Linked DNA regions of Stegostoma tigrinum. The protein of the gene in region 1 interacts with the protein of each later gene in a pairwise test. Links are inferred from orthologs where the notes say so. Each region holds a gene or a part of one and is shown on either strand. Other genes may lie near its edges. The genes, in order: dachshund homolog 1-like and fgf12a.

What was found.
Region 2: the proteins of dachshund homolog 1-like (region 1) and fgf12a interact in binary tests that used the Homo sapiens proteins (3 or more experiments, as listed by UniProt). The two-hybrid records come from large-scale screens. The link is inferred for Stegostoma tigrinum from reciprocal best matches to the Homo sapiens genes DACH1 and FGF12.

Annotation. Positions count from the first base shown.
Region 1 is NC_081359.1:24,908,356-24,924,330, forward strand, and holds the start of dachshund homolog 1-like, read right to left. Parts: upstream 6,948-15,975; 5' UTR 6,407-6,947; coding exon 5,775-6,406; exon of another isoform or gene 5,383-5,774; intron 4,171-5,382; exon of another isoform or gene 4,133-4,170; intron 1-4,132. UniProt on the Homo sapiens protein: Transcription factor that is involved in regulation of organogenesis. Seems to be a regulator of SIX1, SIX6 and probably SIX5.
Region 2 is NC_081367.1:58,732,017-58,747,491, reverse strand, and holds the start of fgf12a (fibroblast growth factor 12a), read right to left. Parts: upstream 6,064-15,475; 5' UTR 5,468-6,063; coding exon 5,269-5,467; intron 1-5,268. UniProt on the Homo sapiens protein: Involved in nervous system development and function. Involved in the positive regulation of voltage-gated sodium channel activity. Promotes neuronal excitability by elevating the voltage dependence of neuronal sodium channel SCN8A fast inactivation.

The DNA.
Region 1 (15,975 bases):
GGCGCATCTCGCTGTCAAACTATCGGATGACACCAAATGGCATCGCAAACAACAAATGAGTTAGCAGCCCACACTGTAAAAGAAATGGCCAGCGAAAAGATGTTACAGTGCGAGGATCCAGTCTGCTCACTGTCTGATGGAAGATACCTTTAATTCCGATTATGTGGACGCTTGCATTTTCAGCAATGATGCAATGCTTCCTGAAATAGTTCGGAGCGATTGTGAAAGTGATTGATTTTAATCTTCACGGCCACTACCAGGTGCTTTGAAAGGCAATTATAAGCCTGTGTGTTCTAGTATTATCCAAGCACCTCGCTGCCATTAAACTCCCATGTATCACTGCATTAAAGAACGGCCAGCCCACCCTCACAAACGCATACGCAGAGTTTTATTGCAGGTATTATGTCAAAATTACAGTTCCCTTATTACTCAATAGCTAATTATTGTTCCAGTACTGATTCTAATCTAAATGTACTTAACTTTGAAATGTTCAGACTTTGGAAGTACGTGCATGAAGTTGTGCTGGTTAATTAATCTTTTGCAATATCAAATATGTGGCCCTTGAGCCTTTTAGTTTATTCAACAACAGAGTCTTTATTAGGGTGTGTAAGATATATGTTTGTTCAACAATCTGAAATTATGTAATGAAAGCAACATTTAAGGGACGTTAGTTGTCCATCAACATCGGGTAACAACTTCCTGTCATCTTGACAACTGAGCTAATATCTCAGAAATCCTTTAGTCTTAATGATCCTGTCTGTACCTCTCCAATTAATAATTATCTTTTCTAAGATGATTCTCTAACCATGTCACATCAATTGTGAAGCCCATTCTGCTAAATTACTGGAAGAAACAATAATTGTTCAAAGAACAATTGTTCTTCCAAAGGACTCAAAGCGAGTCATTTGACATTAAAGACATCCAGCATGCTTTCTGGGAACAATTGCTTTCTTCTGACTCAAAAGAAACAAAGCAGATTATTTCAGAAATCACAGACAAGTTTAAGGGTAATTACAGAAAACGTTATTTTAAAAAAAGTCCTTACAATACAAGGCAATCCTTCAAACTGCTTGAATATTTCTTGGCATGATAAGCATTTGTATCAAAAGTGTACCATAGTTTTCATTAACAAACTATAGCTGTTGATAACCTGTATGGTCCACGGGTTCAGATTTTAGATACAGTAAGTTTTACTTACCAAGAAATTTCAACTTTCCAAATTGTCATTTTACTTAAACCTTTAAAAAGTATGCATTTTCCTTATCCAACTGTTGCTATCAGACTCCAGTGCATAGAAGTAAGCAGTAATTCAAACTTATGACATAATTGCTTCCCAATGTCAGTTGTGGCTTTTTTTTGTACAAACGGATCTTCCCTTCTGGTATCTATTTCATTTAAAAAAACCCTGTTTCTGCCACATTCAAGTGACAATATAAAGTTTGGCATCTCCTTTCAGTAACGCTGCCATTATTATCACAACAGTCCTCTTCCTACTTCTTTTTTCCTCATTGTGAGACGCTGGACTGAGAACAAGTTACCTATGGGGAATAGAGTTACATTTTTGGAAAAATGTTGCATATTCTCACTCACGCCTGTTCTAGCCTATTGCCTCAACCATTATAAACTGGTTTGTCAGCATGAAATGGTTACACACTTCAGGATTCTTCTACAGATGTCACAAATAGAACATATTTGTATTTCTCCCTTGTACAAAGACATCTTAACAATGCAAGGAATCACAAAGTAGATTGCAAATTACGAGATATACCTGTAAAGCTTCAGATAATTACAATGCAAAGCCTCTTCAGTCTTCCACTGAATTTCTGATGGAAATGCTTCTTGTACTGTTTGTTGGGGAACTCCTATACTTGTGTTAACTTAGACTTTGGCACCATGAAATCTACATTTTGCTGTTGTCATTGAGACTTGATTTTGACTAAAATTGTTCAGCTTTTCCCTCACAGAGCAGTTTTTGAAAACCTTTTAAAGGAGGGGAAAAAGCACACATTTGAAAAGTAGATTTGGAATTGGTGTATCTCTGTTCAAGATGTGCAATACTATTTTTGTAAGTAATACACAACACATAGGTTTATCATGTGGCATATGATAATGGATAGCAGTAGCATTTATTTAATTGCAAAACATGATGTGGAACTAATCTTTATTTGTCAGTCAATCTGGATAGTTCCTCCATAATATGAGTCATTGAAGAGTTTCAGATGTCACATTTGGAAATTTAAAGTTCTACACAGACTCCAAGCCTTGTGCTTATAAATAGAAATAGGAGATAAAATCAGTGGATACATCCTTGGCTTCCTTAAGTCTATTGTATATATCAGGGGTATGTTGAGATCATTTTCAGCAAAAAAAGTCATCGTTCTAATTAAATATTTTAATGAAAATGTGTGTATTGGAGTCAAGCAGTAATAATAGTATAATGACCCAAGAAATCATTCCACTATTATCAAGAAAACTAGCATGGTATATACACTAAAGAAAGTATTATTGCTGGACGTAGTGAATATATTGCTAATGTATAGCTTACTTCACTTGTGAAATAACATATTATGCATTCTGCTCAAGCTCATGTACATGATCCAAGCATATTGATACTTTTGATTATGCATGCATCTATTCAAGTAATGTGCACAGAATACTGGATTTGAGCAATGGTATCATGTATTCTCATAGAACAAGATTCATGAAGTAGAATCTTGCATCTTCTATTAAATGTTATAGCCTGTTTATAAAAAAACTAACTGATTAAAAAGGGATTTTGCATGTTAAATATGTAACAGACAATAATGGTATGTATTAAAATATTAAGCAGACTAATTCCATATTGAGAAGGTGCTTGAGCACAATACTAAAAATTGTGCACAGCTAGTCCACTATGCAAAGATTTAATGATCTTCAAGACAAAACTTCTGCTTTTATAAAACAGTTGAATAGTTTCAGATTTGCATAAATCACATATATATTTGCCAGTGCAATACAATATGTCACATCCCATATTATTGCATTAAAGAAAAGCTCATCCTACTACACAGTAATGCATGCAGCAATTGTGCAGTGTGTAAAGATTCTCCATTCAGCCAGTAAATATTTTATGCTCCATCACAGGATTAAGCTGTGATGAAAGAAACTAAAATCACACATCTAACAAAAATAAACATTTGTCAATAGGAGGTGGGGGTAAAGTTATGATTTTCAAAACAGTCTATCCCTGCTCCATGGTATACTATGAAGTCACTTTCATCATTGCATTGTGTTAACGCTTTGATTATCTGAAGGGTAAATTGATTCAATACCTCTTTATGCACCAATGAGCATTAAGTGACAGTGATGGCTGATCAAGTGCCATAACTTTGGGTGTAAGCGCTATGATTTGATAAGATTCTAAAACAGGCTAACACAACATTTTCTTTCCAAAAAGAATATTTACAATCACATTCTAAAAACCTGTGGAACCATATTCCAGCAGCTACAGATCATTGTGAACTTCTCAACAAAATAGGCTAACGATAATCTATTTAACCGTACTTACAACAAAGCTCTGATATCTTTCAACTAGGAGTTATCAAGGTAACATATTTCAAAGTAACTATTCCATGGGATGAGATCATACATCTGAATACCAGACTACATTGTGTCAGGAAAGACACCAACATGTTCCAATTTACTACTAAGTTCTTCAGATGAAAAAAAAATCAGGTTTAGTGATAATAGGCAACAGATAGAAAAGTATCATTTTTAATGCTAATTTTCCTTTAATACTGAAAGTTGGCCTATATTTTTTAAAGTAGTTTAATTACTTTAGATCAACAGAAACCTGATGAGGGCAAAGAGATAGTTATCAATGTGGATGCTGTGAATGTTGCCCTTGCAACATTTAATATAGCCAGAACTTTCTTTAAAATTGATATGGATCATTAAACAGCACATTGTACATAAGAACTCAGTGATGTGCCATATATTCTAAGGCAAAAAAAGATCAAAGTAAAACTATTAATGGGTGGTGTAAAAGCACAATTGTTGGCAGCCATCTGGTACAGCTTGTTATTTTATAACATCATGCAAGTGAGGGTATACTCAATGGTTTTTTATTAGTTTAAGCATTTATTCATGGAAGCCTCTTACTGTTGGAGATGGGCGTAAAGTGAACAAAAGGTATTGTCAATTACACCTTATCTCCTTTGAAACTGATGTTACTTGTAATTGTGCAAGCATTAGGTAAACACAATCCTTTTAGGAGGACAGGAGAAAATGTAGAGAACATTACAGGAAACATTTCAGCGCTTATTATTGCAAAATGCACCACTGCGATTCGCTAGTTTTCCTCTAAAAAGTACTTTCTTAGAAGTTAAAAGTTGCCTGTTCTTAAAGGGGAAGAAAGTTGCAGACACACACATACCCTCTCTAAGAAACTGTTCGGAAATTTGTTTTGGGATACGTGAGAGATACTATAAAGCGTTAGCTTAAAGCTCCGTTTAAAGAACAAAATAGGGATAGACATTGTCATTTGCTTTTAAACTCGATACAAATAGATGGAAAGGGAGAACATTGCAAAGCTCCAGAACAGGGTGCAATTAACATGCCCTACGTACAACAGTTTTTTTTTTGCCGAAGCATTCTCTTGCAGCGGAAGATTATCTCTCTAAGCGCCGAAACCTGTGGCCCGAATGCACTTTCTGATCATACCAAAGGCATGGGCGCTATTTTCGTGGGATTGGCTCCGATCACCTCATTTTAGGGCTAAACTTTCCGTTCGGACCAGCAGGTGGGATTAGAAAGGGGAGGTGCGCGGGCTCCAGTTGATGATTTATATAATCAGAATAAAGAAACTAGGTTTTCAAATGTACTCACACACACAGAGACACACACACGCCAGCAAGGGTACTTTAGCCATCAGCACAGGTTATTGGCGACCAGGAACAAGGGGATACCGAGCAGGTGGCGCGTTACCAATGAGTTGCTTGAACCGTTGGGTGTTTGTGGTATGTCATACAGTTTGGGAGATTTTGCCCGAGAGCTGTTGAGTTGGTTGGGACTTGAGAGAACTCACCTTTGGAAACTTGCAACTTAAAACTGAAACTATCCGGTTGGAGGTTGAAGTGAGTTAACGGGGTAAGGGCATGCGTGTGTGAAGGGGTGGGAAAAGGAGTTGTAAGGCTCTGCGAGTGCAAGGGTAGAGGGCTCGGGAAGGGGAAGGATGATCAGAGAAAGAGTGGAGATGGGGTATTGACATGGGGGAAGGGTGATCAGAGAAAGAGGGGAGATGGCGGTGAGATGGGGGAGATGAAGAGGGAGGGCAAGGGGGGAGATAAGGAACGAAGGATGGGGAGGGATGAGGAGGGGAATGAGAAGTGAAATGAAGAGGAAGTTGGGGGAACAACTCATCTTTAGTCTTTTTTAACTGGGCACAAAGAGCTGTTACATTTATCAGCGTTTCAAAAAAAATGTTCTCGCTTTAACCGAACTTAAATTTCTGCTGCTAAGGAACGTAAGAGTTAAACTTTTTTTGTTGTTTGCTGCGGAGGGCTAGAGATTTACCAGGGAAGCCAAGTTACGGGGAGTTGTTAGGGTGAGGACTCATTGTCCAGTATCCCTGAGCCCGAATTGTGCCCTGGATGGCCGTGTTGGTCTCTCTCTGGTCATCACGAGGAGCTTCTCTGTCAACCTCCCCCACCCCACTCCCCGCCTCAATGACCATTGCCCGCTCAGACGATAGTGTGGCCCGGGACACACTCCCTCTCTCTCTCTCTCTCTCTTACCTGGCGTTGGTGCAGTCGTTGTAGAGGATTTCGAAATCCTTCCTGGAGATGAGTTTACAGCGGTTGACCCCGGGCTGGATGGCGCCCAGGCCCCGCAGGATGCGCACTTGCTCCACATTGCAGACCACGGGCGTTATATCCAGCCTCTTCAACTTGGTGTAGACGGTGTGCAGCCCGCCGACCAGGTGCTTGAGGAAGAGGTCGAAGGCCTGGGGCAGGCAGATCAGCTCGTGTCCGTCTACGGTGAACGAGGCCACCTTGGCCCCCCGCAGCTCCACCATCCTGCACTCGTTGTTCTGCGGCGTGTTCTCGACCGGAGACGGCGTGGAGTAAACCGGTTTCGTGCCGCCGTCCGCCCGGAATAAACTCTGTGCTGTCCCCGCTGTCCCTGGCCCTGCTCCCGCTGCAGCTCCGGCCGCCGAGGAAGTGATTGCAGGGGAGGATGAAGAGGAGGAAGATGAGGAGGATGAAGGGGTCGAGATTGGAGTCTGATTCACCGGAGCTGGTGGGATCAGTGCAACCGGAACGGCCATGGTTGCTGGAACATAGAAAAATTGGGGGAAAAGAAAAAAAAGACAAAAAAATCCCCACTGTATTTCTCCTCTTGAACCAGAACAGGAATCAACACACATTCATTTAAAAGAAAAGGTGGGTTTTGTGACTGATCAAAGTTGATCTCGGCTCCTGCACTCGGCCGTTGAAGTTGTTATTATTGTTTTTTTTGTAGAGAGAAGCGGAGAGAAGGCGAAAGACTGTCGGACAAACACACACACATAACACACACATAAACATCAAAAGGAGGAATGACATGTCACACGGTATCCCGGGGGCGGAGCAATTAACTTTCCAGCCAGGAATAAATCAAATAGCACCCTATCCACTCGCACCGAGAGGGAGAGAGAGACAAGCGAGCAGCTTCTTCTGGCTCCGCACAGCCAAGGAGAGAACGAGTTGCAGAGCCGAGCCGGGCCGAGTTTACAAATAAGTCACTTCTCGGATCTGTTCATCGCAATTTCGTGGAAACACAGAGGGATCAACTCGCCAAGTAGCATTCACTTAGGGCAGCAGAAATCCACCCACCGCAGAACATGATAACCAGGCAGTACCACGATTAACCTGCCCCTACTTTAAAAAAAACCATACCAATTAAACTGAAGACGCCCCGTCACACTCCCCCCCCCCCCGCCGCACACACAATAAATTAATGCAAGTCCATCCTTCAGTACATTGTCAGCATCATTGTTCAAAGTCAAGAGATCAACTTTGCAGCTACATCAGATTCCATACACAACATGCCTCCCTCTATAAAGCAAAGTCTTTTATGTGGGTCCCTACAGAGACCTACCAGACATCCTGCACTCTAGCCACTTCCAAACCACCAATATGTATCGGTCAGATGATTTTACTCATTCAGCTCCATCGACTCTTTTTTTTAGTAATAGGGTAATCAATTTTGTTGATTACATCTGCAGTTGGAAAAATCTGCGTTCAGACTCGGACAGCCTTCTTTAATTTTATATGAAAACAACAAGAAATACCAAAGTTATTAAAAACACACCAGGTCAGCTTTTTACACCACTGACTCTCCAGCTGGGAAATTCTACTTTAGCCAAGGGATATATTAACCACGAACTCACACACTCATATCGAGCGAACAACTACACACGATCGATTCCCGAATCTGAATTCTATTCAAAAATAGGAATCAGACAGCATAGACGAGATTAGCAGCAGCGGGGTCGAATTTATAACATCCATTGTGCGGGCCCGCTCTCTGATTCTGCTAAGATTACTCAATTTAAACGCTATGACTGAGTGCGCCAAAGTTGCTTGAAATCCTTACAGGGGAAGAAAAGACGTTAGGAACGGGAAGTTTTAGCAAACGAAACGACAAACTGACTAAATAAGACACATGGGTGCCCTTTTTCCTTTATTTTATTTCTCCTTCAAAAAATTCACAAAGACCTTTAAGGGGACATGGAAAGTGCTGGTGTTCCTCGGTGCATGGGAACAATTATTACTCCTGGCGCAAAGATTAACACATTAAATGAAAGATAGTTACCCACCTCCCCATTTTATTTAAAAGGTTGACACCGTTGTAATTTGACATAAAGAATGACCAGCCTTTAAGTGCGGAAGCGGCAGATCATGATGCAAAGCAGATCTATAAGATCATTTCAAATTCAGAGGCCCTGAAACAACGGCTTCAATTTGTCCTTTTGTTATCGTCCTTTCACACATCCTGAGTTCTAATCACAGTTTCTCATCTCCATGGGGGCAGCGGGAGGAACGCGCAAACAGCTGATTTGTAAAATTTGTCAATATAGTATGGGGGTTTGCGGTGGGGGAGGCGAGTGCACATTCTCCGAGGTCCGGAGAAATTGCTTATTCAACATTGTCACAATTTAAGGTATCGAGAGCCCTCATTTCCATTAGTGAAGAAAAGGCTACTATCTCCAAGAACTGGGCTTCACGCCTGCGGTACTGATCTGACCGTCAGCAGAGTTGCACATATCCCCCCTTTTCCAACAAGCCTCAGCTCCGGTCCACACACTTCCAGAAACAGTCTTTTAATAACGGCATGTTTGGTTGCTTGGGGGAAGAGTTTGTTTATGTTTATCCCGTTAAAAACGATTGTGTTTGACCTTAGATAGAGGGCTACATATGTGAGATTAGGAGCTGTGAATAAACAGGGCTTAGCTCCCAAAGCAGCTGACAGTCAAACTTGAAATTCATTTAAATAGCGACTAGCAGGATCTCATGATTAATAGATGCAAGTGTCGAACTTGCATTCCAGGCACGACCCAGTGTAATTGTGTTTGCTTTTAATTGAAGTCAGGGCGCTTCAAGAACTTGCATTTCAATTCATATGGAAGGGATATTTAAAAAAAGCAGCCGCTTTGACCGCAGATATATGTAGATGAAGACTGAAGCAGGTCTGACAAACAGGCAACGTTTCACAATCTGCAGTAGCAGTAAATAAAACGAAAATCGCGCACAATTAACCCGCAAAATCTAACAAATCATCCGGCTTTTTTCTGCTCAGCCGTGCCCAATTCTCAGGTTGCGGGGTCACTCTGTCTGTAAATTGTTACAGGATCAGAAGCCGTTTGAAGAATATGAGTTCAGACGCGGCGAGAAATTGGAAAGACGCGGCTTGGAGAGAGAAGCCAAAGTGTGCAGAAAGATCGCAGACTTGTTTGGAGTTGTCCCGCCAACACAAATACACACACTTCTCCAGTGAGACGGCATTATGCGGGCTGAGACCGCTGCCGTTTGCTACTGCTACCGTCTCTCTCTCTCTCACTAATTTCACTAGGATTACGTGATCACAAGTTCAAATTTATTGGGTTACCGTAAAAGGTACCAAACACATCAGGTTGACTGCACGGTCTTAATGCTGACTCGGATAGGAACTCAGGAAGGAGGTTAAGCCAGCAGAGGAAGTCAAATATTTTGTAAACACTCGTACTGACACCTACAGTATACACGGTTAAGTCCGGGTTGATACGCGCTTACTGAACGGATATTCTAAACTGCCCGAAACTTAAATTCACACCACAAGCTCCTCCTAATGGAGGTTTCATCGCACTTTTATTGCTGAAACAGGAATTCCAGTTCTACCATATTCTCCATCCCTTTAAGTGACGCTGCGCAAGAATTTTCGGTCAATAAATCCCTTTCATCTTTAATTAATAAGTAAATCACAGCTATCTATTGGCCCATGTAACACAATATTTTGGTCCTCTCTTGAGATCAAAATGTATTCACGAACCATTGACCAAGTACAGCATTTGTTAACAATCTTTGTAGCCATTATATATGGGACAGAACAGGCAATAAACATTAACCAATCACATCGCGAGTATGTGGCTCAGTGTATTAAACACTGGATAATAAATCGCTAAATTGATCAATGATTCACGGAAACAGTGCAAACTGCAAATAACCAATAACCCGTAATGCACACTAAGAGTGATTTAAAAGTGATTGCTCCAAAGGCACCAGACAGAAACTGAATGGAAGCGACTGGAGGAAAAGAACATGTTAATTCGCTCCTCTCCTGCATTGTGGCAGATCAGCGAGCGAACAAATAAAAAAAAAGGCACATTTTGTGAGCAGGTCCATCTTGTCTCGACACGTCCCTGAAGAATCTGGTCGTTGCTTGTCAGTTTCATCAGCATGCATCAGCTGCTTAGGTAGCAGATATATTCAAATTTACCGCAACTCCCTGAACAGCTATGATTCATACGTGACACACACACACACACACACACACACAGGCAAAGAGGAGAAACGAGGAATTGAACTAAATGCGGAAACTATATCGTGCGCTTTTATTATTATTTTTAAAAAGGGAGGGTTTATTTAATTTCCAACGTAAATATGATGCATGGTCATTTTGAGCTAATTGCATCCGCGGACTGTTACCTATTTGTTTGCCAATGCTATTTACGCAGCTCTGTGATGTTGTCCCTGTGATGTCGGTTCCTGGGTGCAACTGACTTAATCCTGGAGTAGGCCGATAACCGGGACAGATCGTTCGAACTAAACGGCTAGAAGTTTTCAAAAGAAACTTTTTTTAAAAATCGGTGCTTTCTGAGGTTGATTGCAGCCCCCTGGCTTGGACATTCAAGGATGGAAAGGTTTTAATTTGCATTTGAATTGCAAGAACGACCCGTAAACACTCCCAGGAACGATTTTTACAATGTGCGCTAAAGGTTTCTGAACATTTCAGCCAATTTTCAGAATCTTAATCGGCCTGATTTCAAGTGGCGCGGGATAAAAATGACTTTTGTTTAACACACTACTGAACTGTTTCTTTATTGGCCAAATACAGGCTCTGAAGATCAAGGTCCGTATATTTGAGTTATAAAGCTGCACAGCAGAGTGCAATCGAATTAATGCTGACTCGTTCTTTATGCAAAGGGAACAATGCTCATATTAATAGGGACAGTTTTGCAAGTGACAGGAACATTGCTAAACTGTAATGATTTAAACAAAAAGTGTATTCAATGCATACTGAGAGTCTCCTTTCGCAGCCTTCAGAGTCCAAACGCTCCGTCTTAGTGTTTTGTGAAAGGAAGTGAGACACTTCCAAGTACTATCCAAATGCATTAAAACAGTAAACAAACATGAGAGAGTTTATCGATTTTGCTTTCGTCTTGCAACGAAGCGACCTTTCTGGAGAATTAATCATACTAAACACAGCTCTGCTGCGTTTGAAATCACCTCTCAGCCTTTCGACAATACCTTCTTGATTATACAAAGTTCTTCTTTTATCATTCGTCAGTGCGCATTTATTAGAAAAGTGCATCCACTCTTAACACACTAACATTGATCCATTTCTTTTCGTTGGAGGCTGCAAAGGTGTCACTTTGTGTTAATCTGTTGCATGTGTGTTGAAGAAAATTGCGTTTCAATATTCTCATTATGAAAACATTCTTACGTTTACCAGACCTCAACTTTAAAGATTTAAATTCCCGTTAGACTTCCCAGTTTATAATCTATTGGGAAAATGTTTTTTTTAATAATGTTATTACTTTTTGCCCATTTTTATATTTTATTACTTTTTACAACTCATTTTTAACAGAAAACGGTAATAAACTTTTGAAACGAATATCATTTACGAGGCGCGCTTTTCTAAAATAATCGATTCGGGATATTTTTGCTATCCGTTTGTTTTCTGAGGACAGACTGAAACAAAATAATGAGATAAAAGCGACCTCTATAGGACAAAGGTAATAATTGTTCTTTTTACCAAATATTTTACAAAAAACGTGTATGCAAAATCGTTCAAGTGCTTTCAATTGTATTTGCACGCAAGTTACATTCGCAGTTTTCTTTAGAAAAGGAAAGTACATAAAATAGGTTTGGTTAGTGACGGTTCTTCCCTCGATGATTTCATTTGGGGCTTAGCCAGTTGGTTGAGTTAAAATGAGATGTACAGGGGACAAAAATATTTGTTTCATCTTGGATGGATCAAGCACAAAGTAACAATACAGATTTTTCGTCAGGTTCCTGCTAGTTTATGATTAAATCCCAGAATTTCACTGCCATTGTCCCAAATCAAAGACTTAATTTTTCCAAAGGCTCATCACTTTGTGAGTCATGAAACTGTCTCAACAATGTCATTAGTTTAGCCTCCACTAATTTTAACTAATGGTTCCTTGTTTTATTATTTTACAACACTTTGAAACATTCCTCTGGTTCTGCCTGGTCTGCTGTTCATCTCCCAACCCATCTGTGTAACTGTTAATGCAGGTGTTGTTCATTCATCACACTTATTCTCATTGACCTCTAATTACAAGTTCGAGCAATGCCTACATTTTAAAATTCTACTCCTTGTTTTCAAATCCTTCCATAGTTTCACCACTCCATACCTCTAAAATGACTTTCAGTCCTTGGAGTCTTTGTGACCTCCATGTGTGTCCAGCAATAGTCTTTTGTACATCCCCAATTTATTCAACTTCAACTCCACCATAGCTGTCTGAGCCTTCAGCTACCCAGGTCCTAAGTTCAGAAAAGTCTCTCACTAAATCTGTCCACCTTTCTTCATTTAGATGCACCTTAAAATTTACCTTTTTTTTAGATTCATAGAAGCTAGAAGCAGGAGTAGATCATTTGGCCCTTTGAGGCTACTCAATCATTCATTATGATCATGACTGATTCTGTATCTTGATGCCATTTTCTCATGCTCTCCCCATTTCCCCTAATTCCGTTAACAACTAAAAAATAATGTATCTCTTTCTTGAATATATTCAGTGACTTGGCTTCCACAGTATTCTATGATAGATAATTTCAAGGTTAATTACCGTCATGGCCATTTATGGCCTATCCCATAACCTAAGACTGTGAACCCTGGTTCTAGGGTCTTGGACTCTTAATGTTTCCTCATATTGACTGTAGTCAAGTTATGTACAGTAAACGTTCCTGTGTATACCTTGAGATGTTTTATCACATTATAGATGGACAAAATTTTATTTTATCTGTAAAATTCAATAGCAAGCAGATTTTCAAGCAGTTTCCTCTCAGTTGTCTCTTACCAAAGGTAATGTTGCCTTGCACTGTAATCCTTTGATATTAAGGATCAGCCTTATTTCACCTCTGTGCTTTGTTTGCATCCTTCTGCATTGCCGTTTGAATTGCATGTGAATATAGGAGACATGGCTAGTAAATTTGCAAATGATACCAAAATAGGTGCTGTTGTAGACAGTGAAGAAGATTATCTCAGAGTACAATGGGATTAGATGGGCTCATGGGCTGAGGAGTGGCAGATGGAGTTTAATTTAGATGAAGGTGAGGTGTTGCAATCTCATCAGACAAAACAGGGCAAGACTTATACAGTTAATTGTAGGGCCCTGTGGAGTGTTGCTGAAAAAAGTGACTATGGGGATGTAGATGCACAGTTGGGATTTCATGTTGCAGCTGTACAGGACACTGCTGAGGCCACGCTTGGAATACTGCATACAATTGTGGCTGTCCTTCTAGTGGAAAGATGTTGCTATAACTGAGAGGGTTCAGAAAGGATTTACAACAATGTTGCCAGGACTGGAAATTCTGTGCTGTATGAAGAGGCTGAATGGTCTGACGATAACACAGTGTGGAGCTGGAGGAACACAGCAGGCCAGGCAGCATAAGACAAGCAGGAAAGCTGATGTTTTGGATCAGGACCTGTCTTCATAAATGGCGAGGGGCTGGGACCTCAGAAGTAAATGGAGAGAGGATGAATGGGGCTGGGGAAGCTAGGTGAGCTGGTGATAGTTGAGTGCAGGTAGGGAGTGGTGGGTATTGGTCAGTGAGATGGGAGGAGCAGATAGGTGGGAGGGAAGATGGACAGGTTGTGCTCTGTACACAACAAATGACCACACCTTCTGGTCACGAACTGTTTCAATTCCCCCAACCACCCGCTGGGTGACATGTCCATCCTGGGCCTCCTCCAGTGTCACAATGATGCCACCCAAAAGCTGGAGGAACAGCACTTCATATTTCACCGTGGGACCCTACAGCCCAATGGCATAAATGTGGATTTTACAACTGACACAACTTGTCCAACATCTCTTCCACCATTTGCTCCTTCCAACTCACCGACCAATCCCTACCACTGGCTACCTGCGCTCATCTATTACCATCCCACCTACCTTCCCCTGTCCCAACCATCTTCTTTCTACTTCTGAGCCCCCTTCACCCCATTTCTGAAGAAGGGAGGTAGGTTTAAGGTGAGAGTGGAAAGCCTTACAAAGGACCTGAGGAGTATCATTTTCACACAGAGGATGGTGTGTATATGGAGTGAGTTGCCTTTGGAAGTGACGGAGGTGAGTACAATTACAAGATTTAAAAGGCTTCTGAATGGGTATATGAATAGGAAGGGTTTTGAGGGATATGGACCAAATGGTAGCAAATGGGGCTAGGTCAAATTGGGATGTCAGGTTGGCACAGATGAGTTGGACCAAAGGGTCTGTCTTTCTTCTGTATGATTCTGTAAATTTGAGCACAGCCTTGTGAAAGGTGAGTAGGGCACCTTCCAACTTATAGTCAAGCAATCTAGTTAAATAATTAATCATACCGTTCACTTTCTGGTTCATAGTTTTACACCATGTTGAGTATCAGAATTACTGCTATCTCCAGAACCTGATAACAATAACTATTGGCAATTGCTACATCATTAGATCATTATAATGACTTTCTCTTACTCCTTCTGGATTTATTTACTTGTTATTTTGATCACCTTGTCTGTCATGTCTCTTCCTTCCAAACCTCCATTGATATTGTGGTGGCTTCAGAATACTGGCCATTGAGGTGCACAATAATCTTACTATGTCCATTATCTGAACACTCATTCACTGTAAATTCTTCATGCTATTATTGGCTTTGGAATTTATGATTAGGAACCCCAATGCCCAGTAACAAACATAAATGACTCTTTCAAAGAACAGGACCGAATGAAATATGAAGAGTCCATCCAATGCATGCCTTTTAAGGCTGTCCCTTGCAAGTATGGCATTGCCATTTAATTGATATATTCATGTTCTGCACCCTGCCTTATGTGATTCATGTCTCCTAAACAGGTGGGGAGAATGAGGTGGTGTATGAACATTCAATATCCCTGCAGGATTCACATTGTACGTGTTGATCAATGTGCAGTCAATGTGTCTTATGAGGTACAGGCATTAAAGATGAATTGGCTGTTGAGATGTTCAGGCAGATGTGAAGGAGGAATGTCAAAGTAAGTCTTGGGTTTGGTTTGTTTGAATAGAGTCAAACTCCACTGTTTGCTTGTTTATTTGATATGCTACTGTACAGAACTGAACTGCATTTGTGGCTATATATATGTGTAAGGATATCTTTTCTGACTAAAGTATATTTTGAAATAAAACAGGTTGTTATTGATGTGGCCACCCCTCATGAATAATTGTACCTATCCTTTGTAGCAACTTCCTACTCCTTTGAATTAGCATTGCACTTGAAATTCTCCCCACTCCAAAAAACCTTCATTCTCATTTCTTCAGAAGTGCAAACTTTTTGCCAGCAGCAATTGGGAAATAATTTGTAATGTATTGCTGGAAAACAAATTACAAAAAATGAGCAACAGTAGACCAAAATTAGTGCATGGCACATGATGTAGTAGAGGGTACAAAAACATGAAAACTATCCACACCAAAAGAAATGCTTGTCACAACCTTTTCAAGGGCAACTAGAGACAAGCAGTAAAAGCTGACCAGCCAGCGATGCCCACATCCCATAAGACAATAAAAAAAGCTGTGTTATAATGAAGTTGCAATATACGGACTATTAATCTTTAATCTCATTGACTGATTTAATGTCTAGGATTTTAATTTGAAAGAACACCATTTTAAATAAAACAGGACAATGTTTTCAAATTGCTTCCGAGGTCTCCTGACCCACAAGATAGCCGAATTTCTAAATGCCTGCAATATGGATAAATAGAATACATACCTGGAAAATCCCCATAGAATTGTACATTATCATTGTTTGAAATTCTGGTTAAAGAGAAAGGGCAGTAAAGCAGCAGTCACCTATTCTGCAGAAACTACCAGAGATGAAAAAAACAACCAGAATATATTATGCAAAAGAATGCCGAAGAATCCCCAATCTATCTTGATAGTTATGACAAAAGGAGATTGGATCTCCTTCACTATAATGGCTAGTCCCTATTTTGTGCTGTCAGTCAGCAATCAGA
Region 2 (15,475 bases), on another chromosome or scaffold:
AGGAATCGTCCGCTTTATAAAAAATAAATGGTCTTAATAAATTATTAATGCGAGTTGCACTGTGTTCCTAGCCTGGGTGAATTCTGTCTTAAAAAACATTTTCTGCTAAATTGGAAAATGGTGCCGTGTCTTCAGAGGGATCATCTATTCTGAGAACGATAATGGGACATCAGCCAAAACATGAGCAGTATGCAGGAAAGGTGAATTCATAAAATTATGAATAAACTGCCTTTAGTTATCCCGGGATAAGCCCGGAAAGTAAACTGATAGCAAGGTAGATGCAGCCAATAGCCAGCTCAGCAGAGAAAGCATTGGTATCATGTTCTTCACATTCAACACTTCCCTTTCTTGTGAACCCCTGAAACTGAAGCAAAAATAAAAGCAGAGCAGGGGCAGGGTGACGGGTGGTAAGATCGATTGATCAAGCCTGAATGTGTTAGATCACTCCTTATCAATCATCAACAGATTGCCCCTGTTAGGCTGGCCCTAGGAAAGTGACTGGACCCAGGAGAACCTCAGAAAACTGACTCAGTTTCCCAGTTAGCCCAACCAACAATGCTGTATTACGAACCCCCAGAATGGCCTCAGTTCTGGTTTCTGGGTGCCGGATCGTACCAATTCGTCTTGGGTCAGTCACATGTAAGTGAAAATACAGTGAAAATCAGCATGATCATGCTCAGATTAATATTCAAGGCGAATCGAGCACAAACAAAAAATAAAGAGAACAGGGTCGAGTCAATTTTGGTGGCTGTCCTCCTCTCCCTCCCTCTCCCCTGCATGATGATGGTTTGCGCCAGAATATCAGCAACAACAACACAAGGTACTACAAAAATGAATCACCTTTCGTTTGCTGCTGGTTGCGGAAGATCTGACAACACAACGCATGACAGAGCAGCGGTGTGTTCTACACTCTCCTGACCAATAGTTATCCCCCATTTAAACCCCAAATTTTGAACGCACAGTTTGATTAATTGCCTCACTGCAGTTCATGGGATCTCACCATGCCCACGTTGGCTTCCACAGGTCCTACATTCTAGCAGTGACTATCCTCGCAATTAGTAATGCAGGGAACTTGTGGGCATCCTGAGATGAGGAGAAGCGAATGTTTTCACCACTACGTTCCAAACATGACTACGAAGTTCGTAATTTACACCGAGATTGGCCACCATTCCCGAGTCTATGAGGTTGCACAATGTAGCATGAAGAACTCTCACAGTTACAATTATAGTAAACACTTACAGGTTTCAGTGGCGTTCTGTGGGTCTTATCTCACTGGATATTGTTGTGCAGCTTTCCCTTTTACAGCCAAACACAACTCACACTAGAATTGGAGACAGTAGGAACTGCTGATGTTGGAGTCTGAGATAACAAGGCGTAGAGCTGGATGAACGCAGCAGGCCAAGCAGCCTCAGAGGAGCAGGAAATCTTTTCTGAAGAGGAGTCCAGACCTGAAACATCAGCTTTCCTGCTCCTCTGATGCTGCTTGGCCTGCTGTGTTCATCCAGCTTCACACTTTGTTATAATGGGTGTAGTGTACCCCGCATTTGCTTCCTGGTCAGCTCTCCCCTTTGTCCATAGGCCTTTCTGAATATTCCTGCCCATTGTACCACGATGACCATCTTACACTAGGTTCAATTCTGGTCTCCCAGCTACAGAAAATATGTTGAAGTAGAAAGAGTGCAGAAAAAAAGTTGACAAGGATGTTGTTGAGGCTGGAGATTTTGCACTGTAGGGAAAGGCTGCATTAGCTGGGACTATTTTCCCTGGAGAGTCCGAGACTGAAGGGTGACTGTGGAGATGTTAGGGTACATGGATGGGGTGAAGAGCTAAGGTCTTTTTTTTTACCAGGGTAGTGGAGTCCAAAACGTGAGGGCTTAGGTTTAAAGTGAGAGGAGAAAGATATAAAAGGGACCAAAGGGGCATCTTTTTCACACAGTGGGTGGTGTGTGTATGGAATGAGTTGCCAGGGGAAGAGACTGATACAGCTACAACATTTAAAAGGCATCTGGATGGGTACTTGAACAGGAAGGGTTGAAAAGGATATAGGACAAATGGTGGCAAATGGATCTAGATTCATTTATGTTATCTGGTCGACATGGACGAGTTGGACAGAAGGTTCTGTTCCCGTGATGTGCATATCTATGACTCCATCCTCCAGTCTCAAGCATTCCAATGCTCTCCTGACTGGCCTTCCATCCTCCAACATCCAGAATCTTCAGTTCATCTAACACACCTTATCTTGTATCCTAGCACACAATCCTTACTCCCAGCACCACCAGCACATGTTCAACGATCTGTGTGGCTCCATCATGCAATGAACATGGATTTCAAAGAGCCATACTGGAATCGAAGCATTAACTGTTTCTCTCTCTAAAGATGCTTCCAGGTCTACTGAGTTTCTGCAGCACTGTCAGTTTTTATTTAAAGCTTCCATCCTTGCTTTCAAATTGCTCCAAACCTCCCCATCTCTGTAACTTGTTCCAACTCTTTATCCTCCAAGATCTCAGTGTCTCTAAAGCTCTGGCCTCTTGCTCAACATTATTCTGAGCTAGAATTCCCCTCTCCTCCTTTAAGATTGCATCACTGCGACCCTCACTCTCTAACCTAACTTTTACACATCTGACATAATATCACACTATGGGGGTCAATGTCAATATTTATTTGATTATCTCCTTAAAAAGCATACTGTAATACTTTGATGCATTAACGACGCTACACAAATGTAATTTGTTGTTAGTTCTAAATAGCAATAGCGATGAAATCAATAAGCTAGCAAATGACGATGGTGGGGGGGGGGGGGGGGGGCGGGGGGATATCAGGGCACTGTCTCACATGCCCAGGGACAAAGTCGACACCATGTGGTCAGTTTCTGTGGCAGTTGACAACAGATCAATCTGAAAATCAGAGCAATTTTACACAATGAGGCATTGAGCCACAACAAATTGCTCTTCACAAAAGCAGATTATAGCTGTCGTAGATGTACTAAGTCTATGGCAAGTAATCCATCTACCCTGATTCCCTTTTTTATATTCTTGATATTAATTTTTCTTGTCCACAAGACCCGAGCACGATTCTCATTCTGCAGTCTGCCTAGAGAAGTTGATTTTAACCAGTGGAGTGCATCATCCCGCTCCCCGGACGTGAGAACAGGAAACAATTAGTCGCAAATATGTGCAGAACAAAAGAGAGTTAATTAACATTTCACGTCAATGATCTTTCATCAAAATGGAATCATACCTGTGTGAATGTTCATTGACCAGAAATGTTTTTGTTTCTCTTTACCGATATTACCAGATCCACTGAGTATTTACAGCATTTCCGTCTTTCATATTTTCACTGCTTTGCCTCTATAATGACGGAAAGTGACCTGAAACCCCAGCATTCGATCCGTAATTTTTCAAAAAGAAAAAGGGATCAAATCCCAAACAACGGAGAAACAGAGTGGGGCTTGCAGATTGTGGAGGGGCTGAGATGAATATTGCAAGACGCACATCCCTCTGCACAACTAGACAAGGAAGAGGGACATCTGGTATTAGTTTGAATGGGAACACATCGTGGCATATACACAGACACACACTCGGACATACACATATACACAGAGATACATAGAGGCAGACATACATATAGTGACAGGCACACACACTGAGACATACATACACAGAGACAGACATGTTCATACGAACACACACACACACAATGGACAGAGATAGACACACTCAGACATACACACAGAGGCAGATATACACATCAGATGGAGATAGATATACGCACAGAGTCAGACACACACACGGACACCAGATGATCATACACACATACATCAACCTGTGTGAAGTTTAAAACCCTGTACTGAAGCATGCAAACAGCAGGATTGCTTTACAACTGAGGCGTGACAAGTCAGCGATCGCAAGCAACTGTCACCCAATACATGACAAGCAACATTTACCCTCTCAAACAATCAAACATTCCCTAGTGGCTGTGTATCAAGACATCATTGCAAGTTCTTCCATCCTGCAGCTCCGATCTACTATTCAACCCCCCACCTCCCCACCAAATTAAATTTATGCAGTCAACACCCTCAGAAGCACGATCCACACAAGTTAAATACACAAGCTGCACCCTGATATTCATCTAGCGCCCAGGACAACTGAATAATGTGAAATAAGGTTCCAAAGCAATGTTAAACATATACAAAGGCATAAATGGGCCAGATGTGAGTCCGTTACAGCACACAATACAAATGCTGGCACAACGTGCGAGACTTCTGCTGGTTACTGTCTATTCCTGTCGAATGTGATTCAGTCTCAGTTCCATTGCAGCACAGGCAGTGAGAGCAGAGGCACTGCGCGCAGTGGATGCTGCCTAGCAGTGTATGAGTGTATGTGTGAGAGAAAGAGAGAGAGAAAGTGACTCCATACATGAGAGAGAGTGCGAGAATGGGGGGGACGGGACGAGAGGGTCGGAAGGTAGGGTGGAGAGAGGTAGGAGAAAATAGGGAGGGGTAGAAGAGGGGGGAGATCAAAGAGGAGGGGAGAGGCAAAGGGAGAGAGGGGGAGGATGGGGAGGAGGAAAGGGAGGGAAGAGGAAGAGGGAACGGAGTGAGGGCACAGGGGAGCAGCAAGGAGGGGAATGGGGAGTGGGTGAAGAGAGATGGGAAGGGGGAGAGAGAAGGGAAGGGGGAGAGAGATGGGAAGGGGGAGAGATGGGAGGGGGAGAGATGGGAGGGGGGAGAGATGGGAAGGGGGAGAGATGGGAAGGGGGAGAGATGGGAAGGGGAGGAGAGAGGGAGGGAGGAGGAAGAGAGGTGCGGAGTGGGGGGATCATAAGAAAGATTATGAAAGTGTGTCAGGGAGAGTAGGGAGAAAGTGAGACTGTGTGTGTATGCTTGTAAGAGAGAAGGAGAGAGCGCAAATGTGTGCAAGGGGGAGGAAAGAAAAGAGAAAGAAAGAAAGAGATGTTTTGAGCTTGGAAGCTCATAAGTGTGTGTGTGTGTGTGTGTGTGTGTGTGTGAGTGTGTGTGTGTGTGTGTGTGTGTGAGTGTGTGTGTGTCCGCCCGCCCCCCCCACACACACAGTCACCCACCCACACACACATAGGCATCCACCCACACAGTCACCCACACAGACACACCATTAGCTAACTTGAGGCCAGCACATGTACTTTGGAGAATAGTCGCCAACAAGAGTTTAAATTGGAAACACGCAGGGAATTGAAGAGAATTGTGAACAAGGGTGGCCAGCGGCTGGCAGCAGAGGAAGAGTTAACACTAACCTGCTCTCTTCCTGACTGGTCTCTTTTTGCCACTACAGAACCTGACTTTGGAGAAGACCCCGAGGCCGTGTCTCTCACACAAGGACTTCTTGGCTTTGTTGGGGCTGCTCCTCCGCTTGGTTGCTGACACTCGGTCGGTGTTGTTCTCTCTCGCCTGCCGCTTCTGCCGGATCAGGGAGCTGGCAAGAGCAGCTGCCATATCCCAGCCTGGGGGGGCAGCATTCACCAGAGAGAGGGGGGGAATTACGAGAACAGAATCAAGCCCGGGTCAAGAGTGCAAATTAACAGAACATCGAGAAGGCAAGCTGCCCTCTTCAAAGAAAACGAAAGCTGGGAGGAGGGGGTCAAGTCAAAACATCAGGGATCTCCCAGCTCCCTCCCCCCGGACACCAGGGACATCCTCGACCCCTAAGCAAGGAGCGGGCTGAAGAATAGGAAGATCCCAGCTTTGAGGCGCTCCTGTTCTAAGCTTCACACGGACTTCCCTTGAAGACAAGACAGAAAAAGTGCCCCGCTCTCTCTCTCCCTGTGAAAAGTCCAGTAGGTAAACGTCGCTGTTAATTCCAGGCAAAAAGGCAAGTCCAAGCTCGTGGCTCTGCTCTCAGCTGTCCTTGCTTCTAGCAGTTCGGGTTTAAACAGCGGCGGGACGGCGAGCACGCTGATTCTATACGGTTTCGCACAGTCTCCCAGGCACTTCTTAACCAGACCATCTCTCTCGGAACACCCCCCGCAACTGACCCACCCTCCTCCAGCTCCTGTTCCCAGTGATCAGCCCGAGCTGGAACTTCTCGTCCTCCTCGGACTCAGCGGCAGCAGCTTCCACCTACAGACCACCCCCCCCCCCCCCCCCCACCCCGTCTCTCCCAGAGAGAAAATGACACGTCAGAGAGGGTCAGGCAGTTTCCAACTTGGCACCAGGTCCAGGGATATCTCCCGAAGCTGCTCCACATGGAGCGCCGGCTTCTCAATTCCCGGAGCAGGAAAGGTGCAGCACTGGGTCACTCTCCGATCCTCCTGTCGCTTGTGCAGCTTCTCCCAAACTGCTACGCAATTGTACGTGAGTGAGATTTGGATGAAGCTTGTAAATCGAGGCAGTGCCAAGAGGAAGAGAGAGGAACTGCGGCTGCAAACACATGCTCCTCGACTATCCGAATCGATCCTTCCCCTCGTAAACCTCACAGTGTTCACAGAAGCACCCACAAAATACTGTATTCACAGAAACACACATAACATTCAGTACACACAGAAACACACACAAAATAGAATGCACACGCGAAATATTCACGGAAACACACAAAAGTGTTCACAGAAACACAGTCAAAATACAGTATTCACAGGAACACACAAATTTCAGTATAAACAGAAATGCACACAAAATAGAGCGCACACGCGAAATATACACAGAAACATAGAAAATGCAGTGTTCACGGAAACACACACACAATGCAGTGTTCACAGAAAGACACACAAAATAGAGTGGACACAGAAACACAGCACATACAGAGTACACAGAAACACAGAGTGGACACAGAGACAACAGTGTACACAAAATCACGCACAACAGAGTTCACAGAACAATATACATTGTACAGGTACAAAAATATGCACACAAACATACACAATATACAGTATACACTGACATGACAGAAGGTGATCCGAAACACACGATATAACGCACACAGACATATAGATGTGCACAGAAACACATGAAGCATACAGGGGCAAACACAATATACACAAAATCATACACAGAGCTGATACAGACATACTGTATATAGGGAAAGTACACAGGCGCACTGCATATTGTACACAGGCACACTGTATTCACACACAGCCTACACAGATACACAAGAACATGGATATCAATGGTAATAATTTGCTGATGATACAGAACTAAATAAGAATGGAAGTTGTGAAGAGGACACAGGAGGCTTCAATAGCACTTCAGCAGACTGGATGAATAGAGTACAACATGGTAAATGGAATATAATATGATTACATGTCAAATTATACACTTGGCAGAACAAAACAGAAAGACAGATTGTTTCTGAAATGCTGGACCATTGTGAGGTGCAGGTGTCCAAAGGGATCTGGGTGTCACTGGTCATGAGTCACTAGAAGCTAGCATGCATGTCAACAAGCAATTTGGAAGATAAATGGTGCACTGGCTCTCATCACAAAGGGACTTGAGCACTGAAACCAAAAAGATGTCTTTCTGCTGTTGTATTGAGTCTCGACAAAGTATTGTGTACTTTGCCTTGTTGAAGGAAGGATATACCTGCTATAAACAAAGTGCAACGGAGATTTACCAGATTAATCCTTGGTATGTTGGTATTATTTTACGAGGAGAGGAATCTAGGCCTGTATTCTCTCAAGCTTTAAATAACGAGGTGATCTGATTGAACCTTACAAATTTCTTACAGGGTAAATGGTGACAGCTCTAGAAGTGGTAACACAATCTCAGGATAAGGGACAGACTGAGATGAGGGAGAGTTTCTTCACTCAGAGGCTTGTGAACCTTTGGAAGTCTCTACTCCAGAGGGCTACGAGATCTCAGTCACTGAGTGTGTTTATGGCAGAAAGTAATAGATTTTTGAAAACTAAGGATATTGAGAGGGGACAGCACAGGAGAGTCGCATTGAAATGATGATCAGCCATGATCTAGAATGGGTTAGATGGTCTACTCCTATTCCTATAGTGAGACATAGAGACCTCACTGAGAGGGTTGAGAGTCTTTGCAGTTCAGGGCTGTGGAAGCTTTGTCATTGAGCATATTTAAGATTGAGATAGAGCTCTGGTCTGGCAGGGATTAGAGTCATACAGAAAACAAGCGGGAAGCTGGAATTGAGGCAGCACATCATCAAGATGTTCAACTTGAATAGCAGAGCAGATTTGACATATAATGTGGCCTCGTCTTCCCATTTCATACGTACACACAGACGCACACTGCAGAGGTGATGCACATTGCAGAGATGTACAGAGGATGTGCACACTTAAGGGAAGGAATTGGGGTACTGGTAATGTTGCTAGCCAATAACCCTGAGCCCCAGGCTAATGTTTTAGGGGATAGATTGAAATCCCACCTTGGTGCAACGGTGACCATGAGACCACTGTTGATTGTTGTTGAAAACCCATCCTGTCACTAATGTCCTTCAGGGAAGGAAATCTGCCATTCTCACCCAGTCAGATCTACAAATGACTCGAACACATAGCAATGTTGTGTCTTCTCTGAAATGGTCTAGACAGCCAATCAATTCTAAGGATGGGCAACAAATGCTGGTGTTGCCAGCAACAGCCGTAACCCATACAGTAAGAAAGAAGCAAAGTGTGGAGATTTACAGCCACAAAAATCTGAGAAACAAATGCAGTTGGAAACGCAGAATGTGATAGCACAGAAACAAGCCATTTAGCCCAGATAGTCTATGCCAGCATTTATCATCCACACAATACACCGATATAGGAATATATTGTCAAAGAGTTTTACATAGAAAGAATTACAAAGGCATTTACAATAAGCATGCTTAGCTATTTACTGTCTGAAAAAATATATTCACCTGGGCATACATCATATATCCCTGATATCTGAACTTAGAATGTCTCAAACGGGGAGTCAGATGGAGCTACGCTTGATCTTATTGGCTGGGTAGGAAAACCAAGGGATCAGGAGGAACACCCGTTTCAGTCTCCCTCTGAAATTATTCCCTACTCAAAATGAAAAATGAACTCAGTGAGGGTGGAAAACCCAAATTTCACCCAAACCCATCAGTTTGAGACAAGCAACCTAAAATTGCTACAATAGACTTTAAAAGGCATTCAAACAAGCACTCAGCACTCACGGGTTGTTGTTTACAAATCCATCTGTGTATGAATGTGACACCCACACATACGCATAGATAATCACACAGGCCTTTTATTTAAAAAAATCATTCTCAGGACGTGGGCAACATTGGAAAATCTACTGTTTATTGTCCATCCTGGATTGCTGCTTTTAATGAAACGAGGTGCCTTGCCAGGCCACACCAGAGGCAGTTAAAGTCAACCATGATGGTGTAGGTCTAGTATTGCGCAGAGACCCTCATGAGGTAAGGGCAACAGATTTTCATCTCCAAGGGGAACCATTTGCATTTGATTTCATTTGAAAGCCTCACAGTTTATTTTACTGAAACCAGCTGATTATCTTCAGCAATGGGGGAGGCACAGACAAGAAGCTCCCTGTGAAATTTGCTTGATCCAAGAGGTCGAGACACTTTCCCTAATATTAGAAAAGATACTTTGACTGGATGCAAGCCCATATTGTTATGTAGAAACACTGCAAGATGCTGGAAAACATCACTAAACTGGGTTCAATTGACAAGATTTTACAGAACCTCAAGCCAAGCAGAAAAGGGCTCTTCTGGTAGTATCCCTCCCCTGGTCAGAGAGACTCAGGTTCAAGTCCCACCTACTCCAGAGGTGTGTAATAACATCTCTGAACAGACTAATCAGGAAAAATGATTAAATAATTAAAAAAATAAACTAAGCAAAGAAAGTTTGGAGATTTAATGGCACCTGCTCAACCTTTAATGAAGCATTTCTGCTCCTTAGCAACTCAGATTCTGAAAGAGGAAAGATTGAGTGCAAGCTGACAAACTGGAGCATTTAACAGGAAATCTCTCTTCATTCCATTAGCCCCAAAAAAACCTCGAGTACTCAATAAAAAATCTCTTCAACCCTTTCCAATAAAATTATCATTTTAACTATCTTACATTGTGTTACCAACAATGGTGGATAGTGATTGGGATTAAGTGCTACCATGAATTCTTCTTTCTGCAGATTTTAAAATACAAACCCACTACCAAATTCAATGAAATTAGAATTTACAACCCCAGGAGGCAAAGGAATTTCACAGCTTTTACGCAGAATATCACTTCAGGGAGGATGATGCACCCCAGCTCCCATGTTGCCCACTGGTTGCAGAAGATCTGAAGTGTTCTGATGGGCACTGTACGCTCTCTGTCCAAGGACACCAGGTTGCACATGTAACCACAGAATAGGGGCAGGTAGTCAGGTGCAACAATGCCCTACATGGTCCACTGCCTGGACCTAATCTCCCTTTCCACTCTTTAAAAGAAAATGCTTAAACAAATTAGGCAGGGTACTGGAACAAATAAAAAACTAAAAACAGATAATAGAAACAATCCAAAATTAAATCATTATATCATTACCAGAGAAGTGGATTCACCCTAGTCCCTGCAGTGATCCCTAAAGGACCCTAACCTTACTGCATCAGTGGACTCTATATGCTTTCACTCAAAGAACACCTGAGTGTTTAAAAACAGAAGGAGATCTTTCAGCATGTTGAGTTTATATCACCATTTCACTAAATCATGCATGATCTGGACCTCAACTCCATTTATCTGCTCTTGCTCCTTATCCTGTAATAACCTTGACCAACAAAAACAAATCAATCATTGCTTTGAAACTTTCAACTGACCAACACCCCACCACCAACTTATCAGCATGGCAGGAAAAAAAGTTCCAGATTTTCACTCCCCCTTGTTTCACTCCCCAAACAGTCTAGCTTGAATTTATATTTGTGCCCTTTGTTCTGGATTTCTTCCCACCAGGGAAAATGGTTTCTTTCTATCGAGTAAGTCCTCCACTCATTAAATATCTCAAATGAGACTGCCCCTTAATTAAGAAATATGAGTACAGTACTTATAACCTGAAAACATCCTGAATTAAATCAATTACAGTGAATGAGTTCTGAAGTAGTCACAGTTATTATTCTTGGAAACCTCAAGTTACTTGCAAACATTAGATGAAAAGGAGGACTAATCTACTCCAAAATCTTGAAGGAGGACTATTTAATCTGATTGGTGGGCAGGGCAGAAGCCCAACTCTCTCAATACCGCTCTGAATTGGTTACATTCTTTAATAATGCAATAAGACATGAACCCTTCCTACTAAGATACAGGAATGTTAACAACTGAGTCAACCTAAGCCTTTCAGAGCATGTTGCTTACTGATATAATTTAAGATTTGTTTCCAACAGTTCACCAGATGTAGGAGTATTGCAAACTTTTAATGATTGGACCTTGTATGTGTCCCACGTACATTCTGGGGTTTGCTTATAAAATTTAAAGCAATTTTCCACTTATTTCAATTCTCGAAGTCGCAGATCCAAGTGTTCTGATATAGGACTAAATCAGGAGAGATAAATCTGGAAGAAATCCCATCTCAAAGGCCCTGTGATTAATGGGCTGACTTCCTACCAGGAAACAACGTTGATCAGTTCAGTAGCAGCGCTTGATAGAGGAAGATGGGGAGATGAGAAGACAAAACTAAATGCGCATTTTCAACTCGTTGGATCCAGGTTATTCAGCATCTGTTGGTCCATAGTTAATGATTTGCATGTGATGTGAATGTCCTGAGACCTGATTCTTGTAAAAGCTTGAACTATTGTATGGTGAGAACAGAAGTGGAAGAGAACAGAACCCATCAAAACTGTTCAGGTTTTTAATGAACAGTATGCAGGGTGATCTATGAAGGGGGCAATGTAGCAGTGTCCTACAATGTACAATATGCTAAGGTGACAGACTGACAGTGACAGAATCCAGCTGTTAGATGTGTTAGTTAAAAGGTTCTGAAACAGGCAGACTACTACAATGCCTGCTCATTCAGCTAATGGGCGTCTGAGCGCCACAAAACACAGCATTTCAAAGCACGTGTCTAGGCAATAACAATTCAGATACAAAATCACAGGAAATGCATGTGTCACTTTTGGCTGTGCCTATAACTGGGACACCTTCAAACACTGCAGACGTCAGAAGGACAGCCAGTGTTTCTGGACTAGACAGCTTCACAAAGATAGAAGCCTGTGCTGCAAATCTTGACCAAAATGTGCTGCAGTTAAGACATCCTGACCCATCAATCTGCAATGATTTTGTGCCCATCATATCAAACAGGAATCGTGAGTTATAAATGAGTGAAATTGGTAATGTGCTCCTGTGGGAGAGAACATCTGGGAAATAATTACCCCAATGTTAGACTATTTCAATGGGGACCAAAAGTACCAGAAATCTGGCAATGACAAAGTGGAAAAGGATGAACTTTAATAAAAGGGCAGACAATTTTGGAACAGATCAACTGTGCAATGCTGAGGGAACTGAAAGGTAAATGACAAGTGTACATGGATAAGCCAAAACATGCAAATCCCTAAAATAAGAAGAAGAAATCCAAGAAATGGAAGCTAAAGCAGCTAACTAGCTATGTCTGAAGGCAAATAAGATGTGCAAATTTCTTTTTACTCCAAATTAAAAGTGTGTAATATCAAGCACAACAAATCGTATCATAAGCAAAGAGAAAGTAAGATCTTAAATCAAGTTCAATGACACTACAGAGGGTACTGCATCTTAAGTGATGGTCAATCAATGCTGGCCAATCCAGCAATGTTCACATCCAACAAATGAGAAAGAAAGTAAAATTGTGGACAATTGTGACAGGAACTGGCAAAGGTTTTCCATCTTGCAAGGAATCAGAAAACCATCAACACCTCATGGGACCATTGAAATATGCTCAGAGGCAAACTAGAAAGGGCAGTAGAGGCATGGCAGTTACATTAAACGAGTGTTTGGCAGCGGTCTTTATCCAGGAATTTAAGGATCAATAGACAGCAGTGAGCATTGCTGCTAACAATGACAATCACCTCACTGGTCTCCAAACAAGCTTAAGGCTCTGAAAAGGGAGTAAAGTGGGCCGCAAGATTTATTTCTCATTCAAAACACCTCACTTACCCAGGTAATCTCAAAGAAGCATTGACTTGGTAGTGATGTGCTTGCCATCTATAAAATATTGAAGGGACGAGATTGCGTTTATCTGGATTCAAACATCCAATCACGTTTACTTATTACAACAGGGCAGAACTAGGTTGGCTGTTCTGCTGTCCCTAACAATCGAGCGATGGGCTCAAGGAATAGGCTGTGACTCTTGCAGTGGAAATAGTTCGACTAAATTCCTTTGAGTGACTGCTGTTTCTCTCCGAGCTGCAGATCATTTTTTATGGTGGGTTAAATATTCTGTTATGTAAATCTAGGCCAACACAATTGTCTGGACTGGTTTCAGTTGCCTATGTGGGTCAAAGAGGAATCTCCCAGTTCAGTTTTCCCTCATTGTCTTTCACGGATAGCAGGTGGGGAACGTATGTTTGAGATGCACACAGATATAGGACAGGATGTGTGGGCATTAACTCCGTCATATTTCCAGCTTTGTCTGAATTTTCAGTTCAGCTGGCAGATACCTGTGGTGGGGACTGCTAAACCAGCCCAGAGATGCAACTGATATCACTAGCACCACCCAGAGGCGGTATAGTGTCCAAACCACTAGAATTGATATTTGAGATGTAATCAAAATATCATCTTAATTACTTCAAGGACGAGGTGCTGAAACTCTGAAAAGCAAAGCAATTAAGCCTCAACTGATGTTTCCCACACTTAATGAAGGTGTAATGACAGGAAAATGCCTTGCTGAGAAAAACCTTCTTTGACAGGCTCTGGATTAGATATTCTGTTTGTAAAGCTCCAAACCTCAGACAGGCATTAATCCTGATGAGGGACTGTACAGAAATGATCCACACTTGAAAGGACCGAGTTTCATAGGAATTGTACTGGGGTCAGTTCAGAGAAGGTTCGAAGAGAGGTTGTTAATGCCCATACTCTCTGGAGTTTGGAAGGATGATAGGAGATCTAATTAAGGTACATGAGATGTTAAAGGGGACAAAGTTAAGTATACAAATGTTTTATCATGGGGGTAATCTACAAGAAGTTTTGGTCATAGAAGGTTGTAGAATCCCTACAGGGTGGAAACAGGCCATTTGGCCCAACAAGTCCACACTACCCCAATGAACAGCATCCCACCCAGACCCATCCCCCTAACCCTATATTTCCCACGTCTAAGCCACCTAACTTACACAACCCTGGACACTATGGGCAATTCTGGTATGGCCAATCCACCTACCCTTCTCATCTTTGGACAATGGGAGAAAACTGGAGCACCTGGAGGAAACCCTATGCTGACACAGGCAAAATGTGCAAACTCCACACAGCCCAAGGGTGGAATTGAACCTGAGTTCCTGGCGCTGTGAGGCAGCAGTGCTAATCACTGAGCCACCATGCCACCCTGTAGTTTTAGGATAAGGGGTGGAGAGAGGAGAAATTACTTCTCCTAAAGGGTCATGAATCTGTGGAATTCACTACCCTAGAGTGCTGTAGACACTGGCATGTTGTGAACATTTAATGAGGAGGCAGATAGATTTGTTATTAGCAATGTTTGAAGGGCTGGGGGAGTTAGCAGGAAATGGAGTTGAGGCCAAGATGATTTACGGGTGGCACAATGAGTCAGTGGTTAGCACTGCTTCCTCAGTGTGCCAGGGATCCACATTCGATAGAGACTCTGGCGATTATATGTGTGGAGTTTGCACATTCTCCCTGTGCCTGCCTGGGCTTCTTTCAGGTGCCCTGGTTTCTTCCCACAGTTCAAAGATGTGCAGGTTACATGGATTGATCATGTTAAATTGCCCTATTGTGTCCAAGGATGTGCAGGCTAGGTGGATTAGTCCTGGGAGATGCAAGATTACAGATACAGGATCAGGAGATGAGTTGGGGTAAGGTGCTGTTTGGAAGGTCAATGTGGACTCAATAGGCCAAATGGCCTGATTCCAGACTGTAGCGTTCTATGATATCAAACCTGTTCATAACAAACGGTGAGTGGGCTTGACGAGCTGAATTGCCTACTCTGACTCCTGGTTCTTATGTTCTTAATGTTCAATGCAATGTCTCATTACACTTTGATAACAAAGTGTGAAGCTGGATGAACACAGCAGGCCAAGCAGCATCTCAGGAGCACAAAAGCTGACATTTCGGAAGGGTCTAGGCCCGAAACATCAGCTTTGGTGCTCCTGAGATGCTGCTTGGCCTGCTGTGTTCATCCAGCTTCACGCTTTGTTATCTTGGATTCTCCAGCATCTGCAGTTCCCATTATCATTCTCATTACACCTTACTGGACTAATGAGCTGCAAATCAAGCCCTGTTGTTCCAGAGTCATTCCAGTTCCAAAATTAAATATAAAAGGACTCAAAATTCCGCAATTAACCTATCCTTTATGCCCAGGATGACAGACAACATGGAACAGAATTACTATTTGTTACAAATAAATCAATTCTAGCTACAAG